Linked DNA regions of Drosophila melanogaster. The gene in region 1 interacts genetically with each later gene. Each region holds a gene or a part of one and is shown in the gene's direction. Other genes may lie near its edges.

Region 1 (6,344 bases):
CCTTCCGGAAGCTTATTATGGATTTTTAAGGTCTTGCGGTAAGCCTCCGCCACATAGTCATCAGGTGTGCGCTTCTGGAAGTGAATAGTCACCGGAAATTGTCGAGCCTCCACTTTAAGCAACGGTGGCGGAATCTTAAACAAGCGAGTATTCTCTGTAAAATCGGATACCCGCAAAGTGGCAGACATAATGATCAGCTTCAGCGGCTGCCCGCGTTTGTGACGCAAGGGCACGATCCTTGACAGGAGACCCACTAGGATGTCTGTGTAAACACTGCGCTCGTGCGCCTCGTCCAGGATGATCACTGAGTACTTACTAAGCAGAAAGTCAGTTTCGATCTCCTTAAGCAACACACCATCTGTCATGAATTTAATGCGCGTCGCTGGTGTTACGTTTCCCTCGAAGCGAATGAGGTATGACACCTCGCTCTCCGGCAGGTTCATCTCGTGGGCCACCCGCTTGGACATGGCAATAGCAGCCACTCGCCGCGGCTCCGTCACTCCAATCATCTTGTGCTGGGCATACCCCGCTTCGTACAGGAACTGCGGTAGCTGGGTAGTCTTTCCAGAGCCAGTCTCACCAGCCACGATCACAATGGGGTTTTCGTTGATTGTCTCCATCACCTGCTGCTCCTCCGCGAGGATAGGCAGTCGAAGACGGGCATTCTGAACTTCTGTTGTCCGATGTACGGGCACATAGACAGTCTGGTGGATACAGGCAGGTGGGTTAGGCTCTGGCTTCAACTTTTTAATGGGTGGTTTAACAGCGATTTGCGGTGGAGCTATAGACACTGGAGTGGGTATGGCAATAGGAGCGGATTGAGCTGGTGCCTCCTCATCGTCCTCATCAGAGGATGAAGAATCTTCGTCATCTTCCTCCACGCTAATTACATTCGGATTCTTTCGCTTGGCCTGTAGTTCCTCCTCCTCTTCGACGAGAAGCTTGCGCTTGGAGCCCTTTATAGCATTTACGCGGAGACCCGACGCCGAGCTTTTTTCAGCTAAAACTTGGGCCTGTCTTTCCTTTTTCTTGGCTAGATACTCGTCAAGGGTGGGTAGACGCTTTAATCCCACGGTTTGCACTTGGCTAATGGAAGTATACTGCTGCAGCTCCTCCTCCGGAATTTGAACGGCAGCAAGGTCACCCAACAGCTGAGCGCGCTAAATTAGAAAAGATTTCAATTAAATATCAGTTTTATATTAGCACTGAATAAAAACCTACACCCTCTTTCTTTTTCTTCTTGTCCACAATAGCCTGGAGGTGCTTGCGCTGCTTCTTGGAAAGGATCTTCACGTGTTGCACTTTGTCCACCTTAATCTTGGTGGCCCGCTTCTCGGAGGGCAGAACCAGAGCGTTGGCCTCATCGTAGCCAACCTGGTTGCCGCCGGCCACAGCATCCACATCGATCTGAATCTGTAGAGTATTGGATTTGGAAAGGGTAAGAAAGCGGATTCGAGTGTGTGGTCCGACGGATGACCTACCTTCTTCACGGCCGAGTTGTCCACAATTGTTTGTGGATTCTGCCGCGCCTTGGCATTGTGCACCTTCTTGCCCATGATTACTTTACTTTACCAATATAGTTAATAAAATAAAGTAACAGAATTAACTTTGGGCAATAATATAAACATTGATTTAAATCACACGTGCGAAGTACGCTTATCGATAACAGCGCAGGCGATAACAAAAGTTGAGATACTCTAAAATGTGCTGTGATGTTACATTTGTGTTAGTGGAAACATACATTAGTGGGAAAAACTGATTGTTATAGTTGTTCACACTCCTTCGACAGCACTGGTATCGAAACGTTATCGCAATCGATTCATCGTAATATTTTCAATATAAGTTTTTGTGACAAATAGGCGTGCAACATTTTAGATCCATCTGCTCCCCGCCTGTCGTTTCGGCTTGGCTCCTCTGCTCGAGTCCTGAACCCCCGTTTTCAGTGAAATCCAGCTACCTGCAATGGTGTCCAAGAACCAATTCTATCAGAACTGGACCATGCAGTCGCAGCAGCAGCACCCGCACCAAATGCAGCAACAGTTTCAGCAACAGCAGCAGCCAAATCTGCAGCACCGCAACAACCAGAGCAACAATAATAATTGCAACAATAATCCCCGCGCAGCTGCGGCTCCGTATAGAAAACCGTTTCGTTCGGGCAAAATTAACTCCGGACCAGGAGGAAATGGGAATGGTAACAGGGTCAACGGTAACAATCAGATGATGTTTTCCTCCAGCCAAATGCCGAGCGATCCCCTGTACATTGACTTCAGCAGCCCGCCACCAGGATTCAAACACAATCAGGTAGGCAGTCCCAAGAAGAAGTCTATGAAGGGCATCAAACAGCAGCAGCATCCCAGTCCGAACCAGCAGCAGCCTCCCAGTCCGAACCAGCAGCAGCATCCCAGTCCGAACCAGCAGCAGCATCCCAGTCCGAACCAGCAGCAGCATCCCAATTCGAACCAGCAGCAGCATCTCAGTCCGAACCAGCAGCAGGGCAAGATGAACAACCAGAACAACAATCATATGAACCAGTCGCAGCAGCCCTTCAACAATCAGATGAACGGAAGCGATTGGCAGCGCCATCCGGGCAACAATCCCAATCAGATTCGCGGTGGCTTTAATGGATTCCAACGCGGGCCGCCTCCGAACCGTCCTCCTCCACGCCTCATGATGGGTCCGCCAATGGGTCCGATGGGCCCCGGACCACGGGGACCCGGACCGATGGGCCCTGGAGGACCTTACCCGCAAATGCCTTTCCCGCCACCGGTGCCTGGTATGCGCGGTCCCGGACCCATGGGCCCCATGGGTGGACCACCACCGCCGCCGCCACCGCTCTTTATGCGTCGCAACGGACCCGGTCCAGGTCCTATGATGGGTGTCCCACCGCCCATGCACATGATGGGTCCACGGATGCCGCCGCGGGGAATTCCACCGGTCGGACCTTATGGACCAATGAACATGAATGGCGGCCGGATAATGAAGCCCAATCCCAAGCTAATCAAGCAGGTGGTGAAAGGCAAGAGCAGCATAAAGACACTAAAGAACCTGATCAATCAGTATCCCATCGAAAAGCCCTGGGTAACGGACGAGATACGCAGCGAGCACGACAAGAAGGTGGACATCGAGAACAGATTGAAGGGCCACAAAGACGACGAGCTCTTCGCTCAGTACAAGGGCCAGCGGGACAAGTTCGTTAGTCTCTACGAAGCGGCGCGGGAAGAGTATCTCAAGCAGGAGGCAGCCACTGTCAAGGCCAAGGTGAGCATATAGAGACCCCCCAACATATCCTTATTCCCTTGGAACAGGTGTCCCATCCGAAGCTCTATTCAGGGAGGCACACCGATTCCGGGTACAGTTTCGGCTTAATCCGGAATCACTTTGCACCCCTGATTTGATCCGTAACCCCCACCCGTCCCTCTTTGTTGCGTTTGCCGGGCGGTAGGAAAAAAATAAGAGAGCAGAGAAAGTGAAAAAGTAAGTCTCAACCTGATGCACTCTCTCGCATTATCCTGCAGTCCTGCGGAAGGTTGTTGTCATATCTATTTTCACCTTCGGTTGTTCCCTTGGCACTGATATATATCCGCAAAAGAGAAACTATTGGCATATATTTACAACCATAGATTTATTAGGAACTGAACAAAATTGTGTAACTATTTAGAACTGCAATACAATGTGTTTACTGCCACCTTGTATACAAATTTAAAAAACTAATAGAATTTTGTACTGTTCGATCGTGGCAGGCGTAGTAGATTCATAAATGCACTCTTAGTAACTTAATATTCTTAATTGAACGAGCCTCAGTACTGAATCCTATGGCTGTTTTCATTTTCCAATTTGGTTGGCATGTGAAAAGCGAACTTAATGAATTTTAAACTGCCAGAACATCAATTTAGTTACTTAATTAGCAGATATAACCCAACTTATGAAACTCATTGCATATGAAATGATAATGATTTGAGTGATTAATGTTCGTGGGCGTAGTTATCTGGAAATAGCCAAGAGAAGTTCGCAGAATGCATTTAATAGCGAAAACAGATCTGAGAGCTCTTTTTACACACTCAACAACCTTGCTATTGAACACCGTTGGCAATTCTCGTATTTCTTTTGCAGGATGCCAAGTCAGACAAAGACAAAAACGCAATTTCAAGTCAGAGCGCAGCCCCTAAGGCCGGAAGCGCTAAAGATGCAACAATTCCAAATCCCTAGGCAGCCAATGCAACCGAATCCGAATACCGAATCAATCGAATCGAACCGACTAAAGAAGAGGTCGGTCGACTCACAGAACTAAATGTAAACTTAAACTTTAAACCAATGAGCAATTCAAAACTAAAACTAACAGCGAGCAACAGCAAGAGTCTGACAATTGAAGACGAATATAACTCAAAACCCCGACTCCTATATCGGATATACGTATACACAATCGTAATCCGAGGAGGCGCCGCCTTTGTCACACGTTGCTTTTGCGACTGAGAACTGAGCTTAGAACGATAATGTAGCAACAAATACAAACCCAGCGATAATAATGTGGGCGAAACTCTAGTAATAGCGATAAAAATTTAGATTGCGAATCGATTCACTTGTCTAACGTAACCTAGCGTAACGTAAAGTAGAGTATTGAAATGTAACCGTAACGTAACGTAACGTACCAGTTTCCTATTCGAAAACTATTTGTTGTTCAATTCTAAGTTGCAGCCATTTCAAGTATGTGTACACAATTTATGACACGCCCTTACCTATATATGTATGCATATATATTGATATATATATATATATAAATTATTTTCCTATTCGTTGCCCGAGTGCGTGGGCGCGACATAATTGAAACAGAGTGGCCGGATCCTAAGCACTCTGGCATAAATCACACTGTAGGCCTTAGATTACACCACTTGATTGTATTTTTAAATTAATTCTTAAAAACTACAAATTAAGATCACTCTGTGAACGTGTGCTCGATGGTGTGCATCTACGGATTTGTTTTTGTGTTCTTTTTCCCCACCCAACCCCGTCCCTGACCCAATTCCGCTGTTCTCTTTACCGACTTGTAGATTAATCACGCTCTTGATCTTCATGACCGGATCCACCTGACAAGTAACGCCAAAGCAGCCCCACTTAGCGGAATAGTAGAGCCTAGGGGACCCAACGTAAAAACTCTAGTATAGCACCAATCTCCCAACCAGTTAACATTATACCTAAACCCATGGTCAAGAGTAAACATTTCTGCCTTTGAAGTTGAGAACACAATTAAGCATCCCCTGGTTAAACCTGACATTCATACTTGTTAATAGCGCCATAAACATAGCACCAATTTCGAAGAAATCAGTTAAAAGCAATTAGCAATTAGCAATTAGCAATAACTCTGCTGACTTCAAAACGAGAAGAGTTACAAGTATTTGTAAGGCACAGTTTATAGACCACCGACGGCTCGTTAGGGCTCGTCATGTAACTAAGCGCGGTGAAACCCAATTGAACATATAGTGGAATTATTATTATCAATGGGGAATATTTAACCCTCAGGTAGCAAAGTAATTTAATTGCAAATAGAGAGTCCTAAGACTAAATAATATATTTAAAAATCTGGCCCTTTGACCTTGCTTGTCAGGTGCATTTGGGTTCAATCGTAAGTTGCTTCTATATAAACACTTTCCCCATCCCCGCAATAATGAAGAATACCGCAGAATAAAGAGAGATTTGCAACAAAAAATAAAGGCATTGCGAAAACTTTTTATGGGGGATCATTACACTCGGGCCTACGGTTACAATTCCCAGCCACTTAAGCGACAAGTTTGGCCAACAATCCATCTAATAGCTAATAGCGCAATCACTGGTAATCGCAAGAGTATATAGGCAATAGAACCCATGGATTTGCCCAAAGGTAACCGAGACAATGGAGAAGCAAGAGGATTTCAAACTGAACACCCACAGTGCTGTGTACTACCACTGGCGCGTTTGGGAGCTCACTGGCCTGATGCGTCCTCCGGGCGTTTCAAGCCTGCTTTACGTGGTATACTCCATTACGGTCAACTTGGTGGTCACCGTGCTGTTTCCCTTGAGCTTGCTGGCCAGGCTGCTGTTCACCACCAACATGGCCGGATTGTGCGAGAACCTGACCATAACTATTACCGATATTGTGGCCAATTTGAAGTTTGCGAATGTGTACATGGTGAGGAAGCAGCTCCATGAGATTCGCTCTCTCCTAAGGCTCATGGACGCTAGAGCCCGGCTGGTGGGCGATCCCGAGGAGATTTCTGCCTTGAGGAAGGAAGTGAATATCGCACAGGGCACTTTCCGCACCTTTGCCAGTATTTTCGTATTTGGCACTACTTTGAGTTGCGTCCGCGTGGTCG
Region 2 (5,149 bases), on another chromosome or scaffold:
CATCACCAGGGCAAGAAGAATGTTGTGTTTCAGAGAGCAGGAAAGCTGTACATTATCGATCCCTTGCAGCGCAAGCTTAAGCAGGCTGCAAAGCAACAATCCCTGCTGAAACCACAATTGAGTCTTCTTAAGCCACCGTCAGAAACGCGATGGCATATGCTGCAGTGCATGCAGCACGATCATGGGTACGCCAACATGAGCGGCGAGATGGAGGAAAAGCCAATGCTGTTACCTCCAATTGTGGACACTACCATACAATCGCGACCCCGAAGGCTGGAGCACATCTTTAGAAGTGCACAATTCCGAAATATGCGCAGTGCTGTGGAGTTCCTGCTGAGCCGCCTCCCGCTTGCGTCGATTGATCAGCAAAAGGAGTATCCATTCACTTGTATAACCCTCGAAGAGTTCCACAATCACACTGCTCTAAAACAACGTTGCTTTGAGTACCTGCGCGCACGTATGCTCCGTCGCTGTCTGATGCAGCACCACGAGCTGCATAAGTTGGACATTAGTGGAAAGGAACACTACTGGAGTTTACGGGAGATAGTGGCGTTCGCCAGGGTTCATGGTTATACGCCAGCTCTCAAAGATGTTTTACCTGTCGTGCATGAAAAGAGAAAACAAAAACTGAGCGATGAGGAGCAACTGGCTCGGCGTGTTCAGGCGCAACTAAAGGGCGAGCCCCAACCGCAACTGTCGGCCTATAGCAGTCTCAGCTCAGGCAATCGGCTGGAAGCTTGGATAACCAAGCAATCCGATCGTCTGCTTGGTCATGATCAACAGATGCGGGATAAGGAGTTCATCGATGTGTTGGGTGTGGACAAACCTCATCCGCTTGCGTCCAGGTTAACAAACTCAGCAGATGTATCTTTCCAAATGGTGAATCATCGCCAACTACTTTATCTACCTCCGCCGAAGCACTTGGATTCGACCTTGCAGCTGGTCCAGGAAATGTGCAAGGACATTAATATCACACTGGAACCGGAGGAATCTCCGCCTGGCGTCTCCCAGCCACTGGCTCTCTCGATGCTCGGACAAGTGCTGCGCACTTTTATTGAGAAATTGGTGCGCCGCTCCTTGGCGGCGAAACTGCAACAGGAGACTTTGGAACAGTTGCCACCGGCGGCGGCCAATGCTCCGTTGTGTCTCCAACCTCAGGACATAGGCCGTGTCATCAGTCTGTGTTCCGAATTGGATTTCCTCGGAAACAGTCACTTGGGAGTTGCTCCGATAGAACCACAAATCTAATGTGCAGTTGCCATTGTTTTGAATTTATTTTTTATCAAGTCCGCGTCATAGTTCAAATTCTACTGGGATATTAGTTGATATCTAATTAGAGCCTTGTACTCGTTGGTAAGCATAAATCTAAGCAATAAATTAACTAAATTAATGTCCGAAGAAATGAATACTGCGTTTTTAATTATCAACGATTATCATATTTTGGACGAAATCATGAGATGAGTGGTCATTAATTTTTAAATTTTGAATATCTGGCTGAAGACTTTTAAATTGTTTTATCAATATAAATAATAATCGCTACAATTGCATATTTGTACGAAACATGTAAACATTTTTAAGTCTTATCAGCTATCTTCACAGAGTAATATATCTTTATAGTGCCCTAGAAGTATGCAGTGAAAAGTGCCGTTAACAAATTGAATAACTGTTAAAGGGCGGTTTTTTTTTGCAGCTCTTAGCATATCCATATGATTCTTCGACTATTATCGGTCGCAATCGCATCTCTTTTGGGGGCGCTCTCTTCGCTCTCCCCGCTCACCGATCGATTTCATTCATGGCGCATGCCAATGCCGCCAATGTAGGGATGAGGTCCATCTGTTTCTCTGGCTCTGTTTTCCTCAGTCTCTTTTCCGACGTGCGCGCAACAAGACCTAAAATCAAAGTGGAGCAGAGAAGAGCCCGCTTCCCGCGCTTGCTGCTCTTTAGATTAACTAATTAATTACTTGCCTGATATATAAAATGATTCACGAGTCATTATAATAATTATAATGTCGAAGCCTTCTACAGGCCATATAGCAGCTCCAGTACGTCTAAGATAATCTATGAAAAGCTTTTGGATCACCAATTTTGAATGCTATTTCTTTTCCTTTTTTTTTTGTTTCGTGTGTGTGCGTTCGTGCGACAGAAAATGTGGAGGCGCTAAAATGTTCTATTTTTATTTTGCAGTAAAATCCACAAGGAGATGCAAGTGTGTAGTATGTTTCAGCTTCTGTTGCGACGCCAAATTGCATTTGCGGCCAGCACGCCGCTCGATCCCTCGATCGTTTAGACCCCTTCATTGACTCAGTTTTCCTAGTGGTGGACAATCGGTCCACCCAATCAATATTTTTCGGAGCGCCACCCCAAGCGTTTTCCAATGATGCAAATCCCATTTACTCGGATTTTCAAAGTAATTTTCGTGCTCTCAACAATTGTCGCCGTCACAGGTACGTACATAATCTCCACCTGATTTTTAGATTCCAATATTACGGCCAGTATTGCCAGGCTCTCCCACAAAAAAAGCTATTTCTAGCGTCGAAAAAACTGGAAAACAGCTACAACAAATCATAAAATATTTGCAGTGCTGATTATATACTTGTTATGCTAAAAAACTAAAACTTCCTTGAAAACTGTGTAAAATCCTGTATTAGCTTTCTGTTCGTGGATGATGAATGAAGTAAACTTCAGATAATATACATATTTGTGAATTATTTCTAAAGATTTTTTTGAGTTTCATTTAAATACTGTCCTTATGAACAAACTTTGCATTCTTAAAAATTAAAAAAATTAGTAATAATAATACCATAGGGAGACATTTTTATGATAATTTCAAAAGTTGCCGCACTAAAAACTGAAAGCTTTTTGTACTTCAACTTGAGCTTTACAACGTTATCTATTCTGTATCTTTGCGATCACTGGAAATGTCCTGTTTTCTTAATCGCACACCTTCTTCTGTATTCTGCAGATTGTTGTTCGAGCCGAATCTTACTTCTCCGAGAGCATACGCTGAAAATTGTGCAGCATCAGCACAGCCACATGCACGAGCATGCGCACGAGCTGCAGCAGCAGATCCAGGAGACCGCGGTTGAGTTGCTCAATCGCCTGGAGCTGCAGCGCAAGCAACTGGAGGCCTCGGCCCAGGAGGAGGCAGACCAGCTGCATCCCGATACGGATCCCAATCCGGACTCGGGCGGCCAACTGCCAAACGCAGACGACTCCATTGCTGCGGATCCGGAACAGGATGGGATAATTCTCGGATCCAGTACCGACACCTGGTTGGCCAGCGAAAGCAGCACACCAATCACTGATTCCGAGACAGTGACAACACCCGAAACTGTTACCCACACCGGAGAACCGCCACCTGACCCCAGTTCGTCCAGCACGCCTGACTCCACGACTCCCAGCCCGAACGACAAGGAGACAGAGATTCAGATGCTGCCCTGCAGCGAAGCTTACAATACTAGCTTTTGCCTGAACGGCGGCCACTGCTTCCAGCATCCGATGGTGAACAACACAGTCTTCCATTCCTGCCTCTGCGTTAACGACTACGATGGAGAGCGGTGCGCCTACAAGAGCTGGAATGGTAGGTACTCTACTCTAGCATAGCCATCCATTCACAGAAGTCTCTTCCTGTGTTGTATGGAACGGATGGAACTAACGATATCTATTAGTCTGTACCCAGTACATGGTAACTAAATGAACTCATTGATCATTGCAGGTGACTACATCTATTCGCCTCCAACAGCGCAGCGGAAGGTCCGAATGGCGCACATCGTCTTCTCCTTTCCCGTACTCCTCATGCTGTCGTCGCTCTACGTTCTCTTCGCAGCCGTTTTCATGCTCCGCAATGTGCCGGATTATCGCCGGAAGCAGCAGCAACTACACCTGCATAAGCAGCGCTTTTTTGTCAGATGCTGAGATTTAGAATTTGATTTGGAAACAATTTGGTTTCACCTATATAAGCCTCCTCTTTGTTGGATGGCAAATTCTTGTTGACCATATTTCTTTACGTTGCGCAGCGTAAAATTAACGCTTTAATTTATTGAATACATTTAGTGTACTTAGTAGGATTTTCTATTTAGTTGCAAAAGACGCACAAGTTAGTATTTGCTTTTCTTTATCATTTCTTAGTTTCGTTTGTTTCGCTTTTGAAGCTTTCGTTGGAGCTTTTGTAGTTTGTTTGTAGTAACATTTTGTTACGTTAAATTAACCATTACGAAATATAATGTAATCTTAGCGCTTACTCCAGTTACCAGGACAAGTGATTATTTTCGTAACACTCTGTTACATTGTGTATATTGTAAAGAAAAACTATTTTGGTAGTGTATTAAAGAAGAGGATTGGGACTCGACTCGAAACAGAATTAAAACATTCAAAACATTGTTTCCTTTCTGCGGTTCATCGTATCTCGTATCTCGTTTCTATCTCTCTCGTTTTTTTTTTTCAGCCGGCGGATATGAGTGAAGCACGCTTTTGGGTTTTATATTTTATAATATATATTTTATCCAATATTTCGTCCAAAAATTCTTTACAAATTTCTTCGAACTTACAGTTAAATGTATAGTAGAAATTATTCAAAAAATTCTCCTCACTTTCATCATTTCATCGTATATGATTTGTTGATTCTTTCGCTATCAAGATCATCAATATGAGAATGGTATGTATGCGCTTGTGTGGTGGATGGTGTGTGCTTGATGGGTGATGGATGTGTTTTTGGGGACTTAACCCGATCTGGAATTGAGAGGCATCAATAAAAAAAACTATTGATTCCTGCGCGTGGGTGGTGTTTGAGTGGGGCGTGGTGATTGGTTGCAGTGGTTGCATTGGTGGCGTGGATGGTGGTGTCGCGTGTAACTCGGACTTTTGCTTGCGTATATCTTGGATTAGGGATATGAAGTTCGTACAAAAATTATTTAAAATATGTAAATGTTTAAAAATGTATTTTTGCTTGTTTTTTGTTTTGTTTTGTTTTTATCTCGTTTATCTTGTAATTGTTTGTTGTTTTACGTTGCGTTCTTTTGTTGTTGCTTGTATCGTTTGTTGTTTTGTTTTTAATAATATGTAATATTATATATAATAATTATGAGTAGGATTATTCGCATGTAACGGGCAGTTGTTCCTGTGTTGTAACGTCTGCCGCGGCGGCATTCTT

What was found.
Region 2: of fs(1)K10 (region 1) and grk, changing one suppresses a phenotype caused by changing the other (phenotypic suppression), as found in Drosophila melanogaster (one study listed by BioGRID).

The regions. Positions count from the first base shown.
Region 1 is NC_004354.4:2,240,347-2,246,690, forward strand, and holds fs(1)K10 (female sterile (1) K10), read left to right. Parts: upstream 1-1,791; 5' UTR 1,792-1,962; coding exon 1,963-3,258; intron 3,259-4,110; coding exon 4,111-4,206; 3' UTR 4,207-5,695; downstream 5,696-6,344. Other genes in the region: kz (kurz), read right to left, coding at 1-1,160, 1,222-1,413, 1,482-1,556; Or2a (odorant receptor 2a), read left to right, coding at 5,885-6,344. UniProt on the Drosophila melanogaster protein: May be involved in localization of sqd to the oocyte during oogenesis.
Region 2 is NT_033779.5:8,430,308-8,435,456, reverse strand, and holds grk (gurken), read left to right. Parts: upstream 1-1,858; 5' UTR 1,859-2,042; intron 2,043-2,184; 5' UTR 2,185-2,374; coding exon 2,375-2,444; intron 2,445-2,962; coding exon 2,963-3,580; intron 3,581-3,715; coding exon 3,716-3,915; 3' UTR 3,916-4,371; downstream 4,372-5,149. Other genes in the region: D12, read left to right, coding at 1-1,248; Akap200 (A kinase anchor protein 200), read right to left, coding at 5,090-5,149. UniProt on the Drosophila melanogaster protein: Critical for defining the anterior-posterior and dorsal-ventral axes of the egg. May signal directly to dorsal follicle cells through the receptor torpedo (top).